Linked DNA regions of Sus scrofa. The protein of the gene in region 2 interacts with the protein of the main gene of each other region in a pairwise test. Links are inferred from orthologs where the notes say so. Each region holds a gene or a part of one and is shown on either strand. Other genes may lie near its edges.

Region 1 (5,164 bases), on a different chromosome or scaffold from region 2:
TGAGCTACTGACCAGGTCAAAACCCTAGAAATGTGGACCCTAAAGAGTCCTATAAAAGCCACGGACTCTAAGTCTAAAGGTAAATTCAATCCACATCAGATTAAAGCTCACAACAGTGAGAGCTCACTACAAACCGTAACTGTGCCCCAAACTAACCAGCCCCTCACCAGTGAAAAGATGAGACTGTCCTAAGGCGCATACTATATGTTAAACTTTCTGACACACTCCAGGTCATTTCCCTGACCTGTGACACTAACAGAGCTCACATTGAAGGCAAACAAGCGGACAAAACAAGACAATTCAGTTCTCAAGACTGAAAATTCATGTTTGTAAATGCACAGAAAAAGAACTCGAAGGTTATACAACACTGTTAACAGCAGTCATTTCTGCAGAGATGTGAGAAGAGGTGGACACGTGCAAAGGCTGCTTCACGTACATATACACTGCATTGTTTTAATTTCTCATGAACACCACTCTACTTCTATAATTTGAAAAACAATAACAAAATTTTAAGTAAAATTTTGAAATGCAATTCTATTTTTTCAAAAAGACTGAATAGACCCACATGGAATTCAAATGAAAAAATATGCATAAGTTTGACTAGAGACCTCTAAGTCAAACAAAAATAATTATCCTATCGTACAAAATAAAAAGGAATACTGGAAACATAACGAAAATGCCCACAGTAACTGTCAACCACTACTCAACATTCACTACTTTCATTATATTAGCATCCAAGAGGTTCTGAGTACCCTTCCCCAAATCATGTACTGTGTGGAGCAATCAATAAGCCATAAAAAAATTTTGATGTTCTGCACTGACTGCTAGTTTTAATTCCCCGAAAGTACTATAAAAATAAATATACATATAAAGTTACATGTCACTGAGGTTCATATCTGATTGTCTTGAGAAAAGCATTTCCCAAATCTGCAAAGCAAACTACCTGGACAAACGATTCTATTACCATTTTAATGGAGTGCTCATACTCTCCAACTATTTGTCATGACAACTTTGGGGTTAAAAAAACTAAAAGTCAAATTTTATGCAAGTATGATTCCTGAAAAAAAAAAAAAAAAAAAAGGAGGCAAACCATGCTCTGAAATCTTTATAATCCAGCCATAATGCCAAATGTAAATGATGTCATATTTCGGCAAAGTAAAATGTGACTAAACAGCTTTAAAAATTAAATGTGACACCAGCACCTTAAAAATCGAGGCATAGACAGCCAAACTTACCCTAAGCTTTCTTTGAATTTTACAGCTCATTTTCCTTAAAAATATTAAGAGAAATCATGTTGAAAATGTCCAAAATCACCATAAATTAGGAAAGAGAAATAAGCAACAAACAAAAACACATAACAAGTTATTTTGGAAAGAAGGACTTCTGTTTAGTTTATGAATCCATAATACAGTCCAAATACTTTAAAAATAAGACATACACAACGTCATTTCCCACCATCCCCTCATCAGGCTCCTTCCCCCTCTCGCCCACCATTACCAGTTCTGCAGTTTCTCCCTTTCCAGAGTCGCTTTATACTTAGAAAAGCAAACGCAAGCTTGTATTCTTATTCCTCGCCTGTCCCCTTAACACACAAAGCAGCACATTATTCACACAGCCCTACATCTTTTTTTCACTTCATAACATATTTTGGAGCTCTTCCCAGGTCAGTACACAGAACCCTTCCTCATTGTTTTCTTTCATAGCTGACTATGACCAGTTGTCCCACAACTTTCCTTCTATCTTCCTTAGGCTAACCTTTAATGACGTTCTCATCAGTTTACTACTTAACACCTGAGTTAGTTTTTCCCCCTCAACAAGATTTTAAACAGAGAAACCCACTCATTATATAAATATAGCCTTTTTAGAACCTTTGTTTTTCAACCAAGTGGAGGGTAAACACTGCACAATTTTCTCCTCTCATCATTTAAAATGAAGCTACAAATTAAAATGCAAACTTTCAAGTTTGATTACCTTTTTTTGATTCGGGGGATCAGCGTTAACAGCCAAATCAACAAAAGCTGTAAAAGTTTCTTTACTTCTGGTGCTTTTCTTTCGCTGTAAAAGAAAACACTGGTTTGGTTTGGTTAAAGTTAGAAGGCTGTTAAGTATTAGCGTGGCATCCTAACAGCAAGAAATCGCCACCTGATTCCACGTCTCATTTGCCAGGTCAGAGGGGAGGCTTTGCTTTGTGGACTGCTCCACCGGCAAAAACGCACTCGGGGGCTTAAGCTCCGGGCGCTCGGCGGTGGAAATGACGATCCGAGGGCCAGGGCGCCAGGACCGGCTCCGCAGGCGGAAAGGGACCGGGAAGGGCAGGCGCCATGAGGACCCGGCCTGGAACCGCGACCACCAACGGAACTAGCCCTCGGGCGGCGGCCCCGCGGACAGCACGCCGGGAGGGCGGGGGTTCCCCGAGGAGCTGGCCGTCCCCGCGCCCCATTGGGCGCCGCTCCAAACGTGCCCGGGTTGTGACAGGAATAAAGTGGGTCACAAGGCCTAGCGGGTCCCAGGCGAAAGCGCTCCCCGCACCAGGTCGCCGGCGGTCCCGGCCGCTCGACCGCTGCAATCGGCCCCAACCCAAGGGAGCGCTCTGGCCACCGGGCCCCGCCGGGCACCCCGATCCCGCCCCTACCCCGCAGGTAACCCCGCTGTCCTCGAGGGCCCCGCGCCGCCGGGCCTCCGCCCAACTCCCGAAAACACTCACCAGGGTGAGAGGCAAAACTTGGCTCCAGCGCCCGGCCCCCCGCCGGCCACCGCCCCCAGCCCCGCACGCCGCCCCCCCTCCCTCCCCTTCCCCGCGCCCTCACCGTGTGGCGCGCGGCGTCTCCGGCTTCCTCCCCACCCCACCCCGGGGTCCGGCGGCGGCGACTCGGAAGCGCAGACCCGGCCGGGTCCGGGATACGCGGCGGCCCCAGCACCAGCAGCACCTGAACGGACGGCGCCCCCCACCCAGCCCGAGGCACCGCCACCGCCGCCCGCTCCTCCTCCCCCTCCCTGCCTCCCCTCCTCCACCGGCCCCGGGAGCGCATGCGCCGCCCAAGCCAGCCGCCGGCGGACGTCCAGCCAAGGCCCACCGGGTGGGCGACACTCACCGGGAGCGCGCACGCGTCTGGGCCAGCTTTCCCTCGCGCTCGCGCCCTGGGGGTTTCCTTTTCAAAGCGGGCAGTCGCAATCCGCGTCGGAGAGTGCGCTCCCTCCGGCGCATGCGTCCTCGTGACCCCGGGCTCCGCCGGCCGGCGCTGTGCGTCCGCCCCTCCCCTCGCTCTCATCTCCCCGGCGCGGCTCGGCGCGCATGCGACTTGCCCGTTAGGCAGCGCGGAGCAGCGAAGAGATCCCGGGGCCCCGGGCCGCCCGCCGCAGGGCGGGAAGGAAACCCCTAGTCTCCCCGCACCCCGCTGCCCGCACGGTTCCAGGAAAGCAGGGGAGGCGGGCCTGGTCGGCGGAGGGCGCGGCCGGCCCGGGCAGCTCTAGGGAGGCGGCTTCGGCTTTCACCCTGGATGCGGGGAGCGGGGAGAAGGAGAGGGTGGTTCCAGGCGGAGGGGTCCCGAGGAATCACCCTCTCCTTCTTCCCGCGGAGGGGTCTCTCTGAGAGAGAGAGAGAGGCGAATGACTGCCAGCGCCAGGGGAAATTTTCCGGTATTGGCAGGCGCAAGAGCTTTTTCCCTTCTCCAATAGCATCCCTTGCGCTTCGTTTCTTGGGTCTGGAAGAGGGAATTTGTGAGGGTGACTGAGCTCCAGACTCTTCCTTTGCGCTATCCTGGGGGTGCACTGCTTTAGTTGCTTCTCGCTGGAAGGTGGGCCTGAGGAAACTGGGCGGGAGCCCTGGCTGGAGGAGGGAGGCAAAAGAAGGTACGGCTGTGCCGCTTTGGAGTTTCTTACTTGGCCTTAAAGGCCAGGTGACAGTATAAGGCAAAGTGGGGGGTGAAGCTGTAGGATAAACCAGGACCCTAATTTGCACCGCTTCCCTTGTTAGAAAAACGTGTGAGTACTGCGCACTTATCTTAGGATATCCTTATCCTAATAGTCCTTATCTTAACCTTTGATAGTTAAGACACTTGGTCCGCACGGGAAAACGTATTTCGGCGGTTGAAAATTATTGGAAAAGAGGTCTTTACAGCCCTGATTCCTAGTAGTTTTCACATTTTAATGTTCTTTGGATTTGAAATAGAAGTAGTCGTCCTGTTTCAAAAAATAAACACCTGTTTTGACTATAAAATCCTCCCCTCAAGGTAACATTCATATCAGTAAACTTTTCAAATTCTTGCTGTGTACTCAAGATGAAAAGAACATTACAACTGAGGAACTTATTCAGATCCCTGATCGTTTACATGAGCGTTTTTCCGACACGAGTGGGAAATTCTAATGGAGTCATCAGTAGCAGACAGAAGTTTAGTAGACATTTTTCCCCGGTCAGCCTTCATTCCCTACTCTGATAGTTTCCTGGAGAACTATCCTTTCTTCACTCTCAGACCTTTGGCTGGGGCAGCACCCCAGGGGAAAACATATTTGAGTTAATCCTCTGCATTAAACTGGACTTAACAAGAGGAGTGATCTCTCTTTTTCCAATGGATTTAATTCTGGAAAAATGGAGGCCTGAAGCCAACTTCCCACTCACAGAGTCTGAGAAAGAAGGCAGCATGGAAAAAAGCAGATTCAAAAATGGAGATGTGGGCTGCAAACGTGTTTTGATGCCCTGAATTTAATGTGGACTACATAACTGGAAATTTCAGTTAAATTATTCAATAAATTCATGTATTTACTGCTTAAACCAATGAGAGGTTTTCTGTCACTTGCAATCAAGAATCTTAACATAGCCAGAGCAAGAGAGGAGGTAAGTTTAACAATACTGAGGGTACAGAAGCTTGCTGAATGCTTTTCCTAGGGTGTGGATGTTTGGATTTTATGCTGGAGAAAGTGCTATGTCCTCATATTCTACATCATCTGGAACACATATTTTCAAAATACCTTTGCCCTTTTTAATGATTCCATTGTCCTCTTAGTCACTGGGAACAAATCATATTCATCTTTGACTCCCCTCTCACTTTCTGTATTTAATCATTTACCAAGACCTGTTGATAATCCCCTGTTTTTTGCTCAGTCCTATGACACTGCTTGAACATTTCCCATGGCTGGGTTCACAACTTACCTTTTCCCCATATTCTCT
Region 2 (5,281 bases):
ACCACGTATCAATTCCTAAGAAGGCGACCTGACATTTACCATCCGGCTTTTATCATCTGAGTGATCCTGGCCAAAACACTCATCCCTGAACTTTTGTTTGCCTACAGAGAAGACAAGGATTATATGTGTTTAACAACCTCACAAAGGCTGCTGTGAGGCTCACCTGAGATGATAAAGGAGGGAAATGCTTTGTAAGCAGGACAGTGTCTACATAGTCTTCAGGATACATTTCAACCAGCAATTCCACTCTGTCTTTAAGGTGGCATTTAACACACATCCAGGTCTAAGAGTATCCCCCCGCCTCCATTTTGGTAAACCTCAAAACAGATTTTAAGACTATCTGCCAGGCTCTCTGGAATTTTTCTTTTCTAGATGCCCACATAAGTTGGTGTTGGTGGATATCGGGCTGCGTTCCAAGAGGATGGTGTGTGTGTGTGTGTGTGTGTGTGTGTTTTACTTTGTTTTTATTATGGCCGCATCCCTGCAGATGGAAGTTCCTGGACCAGGGATTGAATGCTAGCCACACAGCTGAGACCTACCCTACAGCTGGGTCAGGTCAGCGCCGGATCCTTTAACCCACTGCTCTGGCCAGCAGCAAACCTAGCAGCTGCAGTGGGGTTCTTAACCCATTGCCCCACAGTGGGAACCCCTCAAGATTGGTTTTGAGGCCCGTCGTGGCCCAGCGGAAAGAATCCGACTAGGAACCATGAGGTTGCAGGTTCCATCCCTGGCCTCGCTCATTGGGTTAAGGATCCGCGTTGCCTTGAGCTGTGGTGTAGGTTGCAGACGCGGCTCGGATCCCACGTTACTGTGGCTCTGGCATAGGCCAGCGGCTACAGCTCTGATTAGACCCCTAGCCTGGGAACTTCTATATGCCGCGGGCGCGGCCCTCAAAAAGACAAAAAAAAAAAAAAAAAAAAAAAGACAAAAGGATGGTTTTGATTAGTGATTTGTCTCTTTGTGTGTGTTACTGAGGGCAGCATCTCCCTCCACCTCCAGCAGGATCAAGTCCCAGTTCCCAATTAAGACTGTTCCCCCCACACCCACCCCGCCCCCGCCACACACACCGCAGAGCCCTGCGGGTGCCCTGCTCCGGTCCTGGCTACTTCCATCCGAAGCATCCAACGTCCCCGCCCAGGTTCGGCCCTAAGTAGCCCTGAGGACACAACAAGCAACTAGTTACGAAGCTGTAATGAAGAGTACTGGTAGGAAAATTAATAGTTTTAGGCTGGTTGATGCAAAGCTTTGGTGCTTTCTCTGCTGTTCCTTTCCTCCACTACTTCTACTAGAAAACCGTAGCCAAGGAAGCCTTGGGACCCGAGGGACGGGAGTGATCTTGCTTTCGGATTTACCCTACCATTGCAGGATCCCAAACGGCTTCCTCGGTGACCCCTCTGTCATCGTACCCTCATCTCTGCAGCTAAGCCCTTCCTTGATAGAAAAGAGAAAGGATCAGAGACGTCCTGCTTCCAGCTCTCGCTGCCGTCCTCCTCCCCCGCTCTGTAACTCCCACCTTGCAATGATCTCCATCCATTCTTTACCTTTTCCCCCCAAGTGAAACAATTCCAACCCCTGGAACAGGCAGCTAACGAATCTTAAAGTGGTTGGGAAAACCTGTTTTAAGTAGCCGGATTCCCAGAAAGGGTCAAGGTGCTACGTTGTCAGCCTCTCGGCACTTGGCCTCTAGCCGCAGGGGTCGGCGGGGCGGGGCCGCCGTGGCTCCGCCCCACGCGCGGTCCCTCTCTCTGGCCCCAGGCCCCGCGGCGCCTAGATCCCCGCGCTGGCGAGTTTTGGCTGCACTGCCTGCAGAGCCCGCTGGCCGCGCGCCCTGGGGTTGCAGTGGCGGCCGCCGCGGCACTAGACAGATCCCCGCGGGTGCCCGCGCTCCCGCCCCGGAGCCGCCGCCTGGGCCCGCGCAGGGCGGGTCCGGGGCTCTCCATGCTGCCGGCCCCAGGGCTGCGGAGCCGGCCGGGTGGCTACAGCGATGGCGGCGGAAAAGGAGGCGGCGGCGGCGGCGAGAGGTGAGGCTGTGGCAGGCGACTCCAGGTGTGGGAGCTGGGCCCGTCGTGCTTGGGGCGCTCGGGCTGGGCTGAGGGGCGGGAGGCGGGCCAGGAGACGCCGGGTGGGCGCAATTTGCTGGGGGCTCTCCTCGCACTTGGCATCACCTCGGATGGACTCTGGAGCCCAGGCCGTTCGTTGCGGCACAGGTGAGGCGCGGCGCCCCGCGAGTCCTTCCCTGGAGTCGGAGGTGGGGAGTGACGCCCGCGATCGCTGCCGGCTTTCGGGCTGCACGCAGCCCAATTTTTTTGGCCCCGGGCTGGGCGCTTTGGTGAAAGTGAGCTGGCGAGAGACCATCCACCTTGTGATGGCGAGCAGCCTACCCTCGCCGACCACTGGGCGCCCACTTAGACGTCTGCAGGGACTGCTGCACAGACTTCTTGGATTTCATTTTCCTCTTGTATAACCCAGTTGTCATCAGCCATTGAACGAGATCGGGCTCTGCGAGCCCATCCCCTCTGAACTGCAAAGACTCACTTCTGTTCCCTTCTTCGGAAACTGACCCGATGCCGTCTGACCCGCAGGCGAGGCCCGCTTTTCTCAATCTGCAAAGTCATATTTTGCCACACTACAGCCCTCTGTTAGCGACAGGCGGCTCTTGTGCCCTTTCAACTTTAGGAACGCCACTAGTGGAATTTGTTTTGTTTTATATGGGGGGGGGGCTAGTTTTTGTGATTTGAGCTGGAAGCATTGCTCTCTTTTCCTCTCGTATTCCCTGGCGACATTCTGTGGTTTCTTCCATGGGACTACTCATAATTATGCGCTTATCATAAAATATTTGTTCCTTAAGACAAATGGGAGGCCAGAAAAAAAAAAAAAACATGGAAAAATTAAAGGAAGACTGCAGAGAGAAGTTCGGAGAAGTATTTTACTACTCCACTTTCCTTTTGGAATGAGTTTAGGTTCTTCTCTGAAATACAGCAATAAGAGGAGATGCTTTTGAAAATCTAATACAGTTTGGGGATTTGGATCATGGGGAGAGTTCTAAAATTCTATCATTTGAATATTTGAAGCCTTTCTGCATGATATAAAGATGTGAGTAAGCACTGGTTTTAAAAGAGAAGGCAGTACGCATCGTGTTAGGCTGAGACATCCTTTCATTTCTGGCTGTGACTGAACTCTGCCTTTTACTAGGTCACTAGGGTTATTTAGCTTTAGTTTCTTCATCAGTAAAATGGGGATCATTACAGTATCTTACAGGATTGTTTGGGTTAAATGAGATATAAATGCCTTTAAATATATATAACATGCTTCACCCACTACTTGGGAAGTAATAAGTACTCCATAAACATTAGCCTAATATTTTAATTTACAGCTTCCATTTTCTTGGTGTCAGTAATAAATCTTTTTCTTTTTTAGGGCCACACCAAAGTATATGGAATTTCCCAGGCTAGGGGTCAAATCAGAACTGTAGCTGCTAGCCTACACCACAGCCACAGCAATGCCAGATCTGAGCCACGTCTGTGACCTACACAACAGGTCATGGCAACACCAGATCCTTAACCCACTGAGCAAGGCCAGGGATCAAACCCAAGTCTCATGGATGCTAGTTGGGATGTTACTGCTGAGTCGTGATGGGAACTCCAAAAAAAAATTTTTTTTTTCTTTTTTGGCCACTCCGAGGCATATGAAGTCCTAGGCCAGGGATCAGATTCAAGCCACAGTCTTGACCTAAGCCACAGCTGTGGCAACACTGGATCCTTAACCCAATGTGCCAGATGGGGGATGGAACCTGCATCCCAGTGCTCCTAAGACGTCGCCAATCCTGTTGCGCCACAGCAGGAACTCCAAAAGCAATAAATCTTTCTAGCCTATTAAGAAAGTTTTGTTGCATGCATGTTAAAACTGGCCACATTGAAAGAATTTGGGCTTTTCTGAAAAAAGAGATGTGAAAATACACCCACTAATTCAAAACAGGGCTTTCACCAGGTAAGTGTTACAACAAGTTTTTGGACAAAGAATTTATTGTTGTTTAGCAGAATATCAGATATTAGGTTAGGAATGATCCAAATTAATCTTTCTTAGGTAAGAGGAGCAAAGTTAGCATGGGAGCTGGGAGGACCAGCATTTATTGAGGTCCTATCATGGACCAGGCATTTTGAAAGGGATACCATCTTTCATCTCCTAACAGCCCTGTCATGTAAGTGGGATTATCTCCCTGTCAAAGATGAGATGAGAAAACTGAGGCTGTAGCCAGAAAGTGGCAAAACTGAAAAAAATCTGTGGACACTGCCCATGCTGCTTTTCTTTCTTTTCATCTCACTGCATGGTTTAATCCGCAGTATGCTCACTTCCAGACACCCTCTTTATCTTAAGAGGTAGAGAAAAAAAAAATACTATTACAGATCCTCGTTTCAGGGGGCAGGGAGGGGGGAGCAAAACAAAACAGAATCCATGGCCTTGTTGTTTTCCTTTGCACAAAATCCCTGCAGATTCCTTTTTTCCTAAGCACTTTGACATTAGGGCCCTCATGGGAGAATAAAAATCTAAAACTGGTGGTGCAGAGAAAACTGCCCCCCATGGTTTGGTTACACTGCTGAAAAAAATCTTGGGGGCTAGACTTGAAGATTCCCCCCCCCAAACATAATTGCCTGCTCATTTACTTTTTTGCAACAGGCTTATGGTAAACACCATGATCAAGCAAGCTGCCAAGTGACTGGGCGTCCTCCCAGTAAATGATTCCAGGATCCTTTAGTTAGAGGGTGATCTTGGGGGAGCAGCACATTCCCCAGACTAACAGCCAGGCTTGGCTTTGGGTCTAGGCATCCGAAGGGCAACTTTCTCAACACCCTCCTATTTTTTTTTTTTTTTTAAACCATCTCATGCTTTTACCTATGATGTTACCAGACCTCTTTCTGCAATTATAGTGGCCTAAATTCATTTTTTTTTTTTTTTGTGACTCAGACATCAAAAGTTGTATCCTAATTTTGCATAAACTGCTCTTCCTGCCCTAGATCCTTAGGCAGAGTTTCAGCCTGACATGCGTTACTCAGTATAAACCAGGGTGGGAGTTCCCATGGTGGCTCAGTGGTAATGAACCCAACTAGTATCCATGAGGATGTGGGTTCGATCCCTGGCCTCGCTTAGTGGGTTAAAGATCTGGCATTGCTGTGAGCTGTGATCCCTAGCTGTTGTGGCTGTGATGTAGGCCAGCAGCTGCAGCTCCAATTCGACCCCTAGCCTGGGAACTTCCATATGTCTCATGTGCAGCTCTGACAAAAAA
Region 3 (5,392 bases), on a different chromosome or scaffold from region 2:
TTTGATCTAATTGACAGTGCTGGGTTGCATGCCCAAATAAGGCGCTGTGGGTCGGTCTCCCCGGGAGAGGGTTTGCCTTGAACTTGAGTGGGGAGTAGATAAAGCAAGGACCCTGGAACCTAGTGGGGGGCGATTCCAGTCTGCTGCCAGCGTTCAGAAGAGAGGCCTTAGGAGATTTCTAGTCTAGAAAACCTAATCTGATGGAAAAGAATGAGTGGGGAGCTTTCCTCTCCAGGGCTACTGGTCGGAATGTGGGAAGGACCCAGGGACATCCTAAAAAGGTTCCTGGTTGTACCTCTAGGTGACCTAGAGGGTGACCTCCCCTGGAGGTAGGGGATGTCTCCGGAGGCGCCTCCACTTGAGGAACGCCGCCGCCCCGCCGGAAGGGAACGGAGTGGGGTCTTCGAGTCTTAGAGATCTCTCCGGGCCTCGGCGGGGGGCGCGGTCTCCCTTTTCCACCAGGCTCTGCTTTGGAGCCCCGCTGAGCTCGGGCACAGCAGCTCCTGGCTCCCAGAGATAATATTTATGGGCCTGTCTGTGTTCGCTGTTTGCGGGAGCCTCACTGAAAGCCTCCCTGTTTCCTCGCGCGCAGCTTTGGCTTCTCCTTTTCTTGGATTCTCGCCTGTCTCCTCCCACAGAGGGAAAAAAAAAAAGGTCACGTATGTTTGGAAAAATATGTAGGTCAGTGGAACATTTCCTGCACTGGTGCAAAAGGAGAGGAGGGCAGCAGGGGAGGGGAAGGAGCAGCAGCGCGGAGCTCCGGGTGCGCGCTCCTGGCCATGGCCCCCCAGCCCACGTGCCTCTGCCTAGGAGGGGGGCAATGGGCCGGCTTCTTTCCATCCTTGACCCATTTTTCCGGACCGGCTACGTTCGCCTTGGAAGAAACACCGATCATTCCTCCCCAGCAGGCGCGGAGGTCCTCCGCAAAGGGCGCTCGCCCATGTCTCCCCGACCCCCGCTGGGGCTCGTAGGAAAAGCGCAGCGGTCCGTCTGCAAAGACGCGCCCGGTGCCATGGCTCCGGCTCCGTGCGCAGGCCTGCCCCGCGAGGACGGCGGCAGGGGACCACAGTGGCGTATTCGCTCCCAAAGCACGGGACCGAGGGGTGGCAGCGGGCTGGGCGTGGGTCGGCACCTGGCCGGGGAGGAAGGTTCCCTGCCACCCCTATTGACAACTTTAACCGGACCTCAGCCGGCAGCTCGGCATCCGCTGGTCTCTCCTCGGGCCAGCTGCGCTCTAGGCACACACCAGCCCCCGCCCTGAGCCGAGTCCCGACCCTGTGCCCCCAGCCGGACCCGGCCGCGCGTTCCCTGGCAGCGGGCAGAAGCGGCGGCGGCCTCGGGGCACGGGTGTCTGTGCCGCCCAGGGAAGCAGGGGTCCGAGGGTCCATCTGCCCGTAGGGCGCGCAGGGTGCGTGTCCAAGGGTGGATCGCGGCCAGGGCCCGGCGTGCGGCCAGGAGACACCCGGCCGGCGGCGGCAGCCGGAGCTCAGGGAAGGAGGAGGAGGACCGGGAGGAGGAGGAGGAGTACCGAGAGGAGGCGGGAGGAGGGAGGGGGAGGAGGAAGAGGCGGCGGCGGCTGTCCCCGCCGGCTCTGCGTGCGGAAGAGTTTGCCGCGCGAGCAGCCGGCCTCCCGCAGGAGCCAAGGGACCGGCGGCGGCGGCGGCGGCCCGGGAGTGGCGGCCGCGTAGCTTCGAGAACCGCAGCCGCGGCGGCGGCGGCGGCGGCAGCCAGAGCAGCGCCTCCCGCCGCCGCCCGGGAGGAGCTCGCCGCGCCCGCTCGCCGCCTCGGCTCCCAGCGGCGGTGGCGGGAGGCGCGTCTCCCCGGCCCAGTCCGCGCCCGGCCCCGCGGGGCCGCCCCGGCCCGCTCCGAGGTAAGGGCCGCACCGGGGGACGCGGGGGCCCGGGTGGGAGGGCGTGCGCACTGGGTCTCGGGACTCGGTCACCTGCTCGCTGGCGCGGTGGGCGCGCGGGGCCCCCCGGGGGACGCTCGGCCCCGGGCTGCGCCGCGCGGGGGTCGGCGGCGAGAGGAGGTGGGGCCCCACCCCCAGTCCCCGGTCCCCGCAGCCGGGACGTCGCGTCTTGCGGGACCGCAGCGGCAGCTGGACTGGTGGGTTCCGTGTGCGTCTCGCCGTAGGAGGCAGAGGACAAGACACCCTGAGCCTCAGGATTTGGGGTGCTCATTGAGTACCGTCGGGGTGGGTGGAGGCCGTGCCCAGATAGCAGCCTCGAAGGTCGTCCATTGGCCTCCCTGAGCCCATCGCGCGCCCCACGGAGCATGGGGGTGCCAGGACCCCGGGAGAGTGCGGCGTGCGTGCTGCAGGGCCGAGGTCTCTCTCGGTCCCTAGATCGGAATTGGTTTGGGCCGGAAGGGGTGCTGAGCCGGCCCCCTGGACGCCTGGAGAGCGCGTAGCCCGGCCCCTTGCGTCGGCCTGCCATTCTGAGCTCCCCAGGTTGGATGCCAGCGTGTTGTTTTGTTGGGAGGTGTGCCCCCCTCCTCTCCCAGAGCCGAAGAGGGAGGCTTACCTTTGACCTTTCCATGGAGCCGTGCAGGGTGCGGAACTGGGGTGGGGGGTAGGGACCAAATTAAAAACCAACCCGCTCCTCTGCTTGCCACTCCTTAACTGCTCAAGGTAAGAAAGTTTGTTTTCGGCCCTGTGATTCATAAATAATTAGTAACCAGTTTTGTTGATTAAGCAAGATGGAAACCTTAAAAATACACACGCACTTCCAGAAAGTCTAAAGGATAACAGGGTTGTATCTGCGAGGCTTTAGTTCGGAAAGTTAAAAACCCCAGAGCTCAACAGGTGTTCAGGAGGGGTCCAAGAGGGAAGAGCTCGGCGGGTTTGGTCTTTAGCACCTGATCCTTTGATTCATCAAATTGATCGGCCTGTTTCTTTCCGGTTAAATATTGAGTAGTTATTAAATTAATTAGCAGAGGGGAGCTGATCATTCTAGATCATTTAGGACTCATTTCTTCTTTTCCTTAATAGGAGGGTTTTCCCCGTTTGCACGTTCCAGATAATTAGCTCAAAAAGTAGTTCCTGGCAAGGTTCAGTTCTGTCCATATCTCTGTCTATCAAACACTATCCAACTCAATCCCGGGTCGGTGAATTGACCGACTCATTATGGCTTGCATTAAAACACAGCAAGTTTTAATTGCTCCACCTTAGGAGGTGTCAGTTCAAAACTCAAGGGCACGTAGCAGCTCTTGCTGCCCTTAAGAGTTCTTAAAGGAAATGTTTGCCGAAAATAACCTCCAAAAGCATTTTAAAATAACTCCCCTATAAATATGATGTTTAAAAGAGCTGTTCAGGCTTGGGCCAGTGTTTTGCAAAAGCAAAAAATCTGTTTGATGGTGCAGCTAAACAGGACGGGTAGAGGTATTGGCATCTCTCAGCAGTCTACCTAAAGATTTAGTTAAAAATAAAGTGTGCGCTGTAAAAGCTTTCAATAATTGTCTTCCATCTCACAGAGAGAGGTGGAGTGTGGCTTAGAAGAATTGTAAATATGCTGCTTTTAGCCATTTTCTTCTTGGAAATCGATGCCTCTATTTATTTGCTGATCTGTCCCACTGTGGCAGGTATAGAGTTGGTTTTATTCTCACTGCTCCCCAGAATGACTCTTGCGAAGGCCAGAGAAAGGAATATATTCTGGAGGAAATATGTTATTAATAAAACATCCCCCCCAAAGAGTTAGGTATGCCAAGAAACGAGCCAAGTGAGGCTTCACTGATTGCTGTGATGAAAAAAAATACCCTGATATGAGAAGAAAGTGTTTAGATGGCAACGAAAGAAGTCATCTTTCTCTAGAAAACAATTACAATTGTTTTTAAGTCCGTTTGGTTCTTGTAAGAGTTTAGGCCCTTTTTACTGTTTCTGGCTAATTAATAAATTATTAATGAAAATGATAAAATAATAAAGATAGTTATAAATAACCCACCTCGTGGTTAGGCAGTCGAATTCATCTTTTATTTTTTTTGGAACCATCTTTCTTAACTCTCAATAATCTTTATAGCTGGCTCTCAGCACCGCTACTTGTTTTTGGGTTACAAAGTCAAAATTAATAATTTTTTTTTAGATTCAAACCATAATGCATTCATATGTTTTTTTTCTCTCACCAGTTTTATATGGTAATTTTTCATAAGTCTGGCTTTTGAGCCTTAAGCATCTAAAGGGCTAAGTCCTTTTCTTTAATTTTTCAAACAAGTATGTATTTTGTTCTTTCCATGAAAAGTCGGTTTTTCCATTGTGATCCGGACCCTGACTGTCCCATGCTGACCCCATGCAGACGGCAGCATCTTTTTCCCAAGAGGAGTCAGACTGTGAGGTGTTGAAAATAACCCAGTACCGCAGTGTTCTTGGTGTTCTTATGCCAGTGGTCTAATTGGCTGCATTAAAGAAGCATCTGAATGAGTTTTGCATTTAAATATTGGAATGATACTCGATGCATTATTTGCTTACAGGAATGTTGGATTAGCATGTTCCTGATTTTCATTAAGTTTGTGGCATAGGCATAGTCAGGGACTGTGACACTGAGTCCCCACGACATCTCCTCCCTTTGAGGCCTTGTTCATCATAGATGCTGCATAGGTAGGTGTAGGAAATGAGCTGACTCGTCAATGATGGTTATCCAGAGGTCAGACATAGCTGAATGCTAATGCGGTACTTTGAGTAATTCTAGTTTAAATCTGATGATGATTAATAGCACCTTAGAGCACTAAATAACACTTAGTACATGTGAACCTATGTTTTAAAGGGAAATTTTTGAAAAGCAGTCTTCGTCTCAGGCACTGGTGTTCTCACTGAATTCTTTGAAACTGGGGACCACTTGGCATTTTAAGGAAAGTAATTTCTAGGTCAAGTTCCCCCAGAGATCACTTGAGCTTCCATGGGTCATAAGACAATGTGTGGTTTCCATTTGATGGTTTGGAATAGAAGAGAGTTTATCTTTTAAATTGGTATAAAAAAATAACTGTTTGAAAAAGGTGGAGGGTGCAGAATGTTTGGTCTCAAACTTTACAGTGCGTGGCATTGACTGGGGCCCTTGCGAAGTGCAGGTGCTCTCTGGGCAGGTCTGGGTCGGGGGCATGTCTTACCAGCTCCCAGAGGCTCTGCATGCTGTGCTACGCAAGTGAGGTTCTGGAATATTCTTAAGTCAGCCTGTATTTACCTAGCATCTACTGCATAGTAGGCCCACGTGATAGACAAAGAAAGAACATGAGTCCTTTCTGCCCTCGAGGAGCTGACAGGATGGAGCGGGGAGGTTCTAGACCGAAATGAAGCCCTAAGACACCTCTCTTCAGCGAGGGGGCCAGAGAGGGACCCAAGAAAGGGGGTTTTCTGGTAGGGCTCCCACGTTGCTGACCTTGACTTCTGGTGTTCTTTGAATGGAAA

The links.
Region 1: the proteins of ARNTL2 (region 2) and CLOCK interact in binary tests that used the Homo sapiens proteins (3 or more experiments, as listed by UniProt). The link is inferred for Sus scrofa from reciprocal best matches to the Homo sapiens genes BMAL2 and CLOCK.
Region 3: the proteins of ARNTL2 (region 2) and NPAS2 interact in binary tests that used the Homo sapiens proteins (3 or more experiments, as listed by UniProt). The link is inferred for Sus scrofa from reciprocal best matches to the Homo sapiens genes BMAL2 and NPAS2.

What each region holds. Positions count from the first base shown.
Region 1 is NC_010450.4:54,906,922-54,912,085, forward strand, and holds the start of CLOCK (circadian locomoter output cycles protein kaput), read right to left. Parts: upstream 3,272-5,164; 5' UTR 3,093-3,271; intron 3,001-3,092; exon of another isoform or gene 2,808-3,000; intron 2,056-2,807; 5' UTR 1,972-2,055; intron 1,270-1,971; exon of another isoform or gene 1,236-1,269; intron 1-1,235. UniProt on the Homo sapiens protein: Transcriptional activator which forms a core component of the circadian clock.
Region 2 is NC_010447.5:46,478,984-46,484,264, reverse strand, and holds the start of ARNTL2 (aryl hydrocarbon receptor nuclear translocator-like protein 2), read left to right. Parts: upstream 1-1,895; 5' UTR 1,896-1,984; coding exon 1,985-2,021; intron 2,022-2,056; exon of another isoform or gene 2,057-2,170; coding exon of another isoform or gene 2,171-2,207; intron 2,208-5,281. UniProt on the Homo sapiens protein: Transcriptional activator which forms a core component of the circadian clock.
Region 3 is NC_010445.4:53,486,792-53,492,183, reverse strand, and holds the start of NPAS2 (neuronal PAS domain-containing protein 2), read left to right. Parts: upstream 1-1,808; 5' UTR 1,809-1,870; intron 1,871-2,478; exon of another isoform or gene 2,479-2,629; intron 2,630-5,392. UniProt on the Homo sapiens protein: Transcriptional activator which forms a core component of the circadian clock.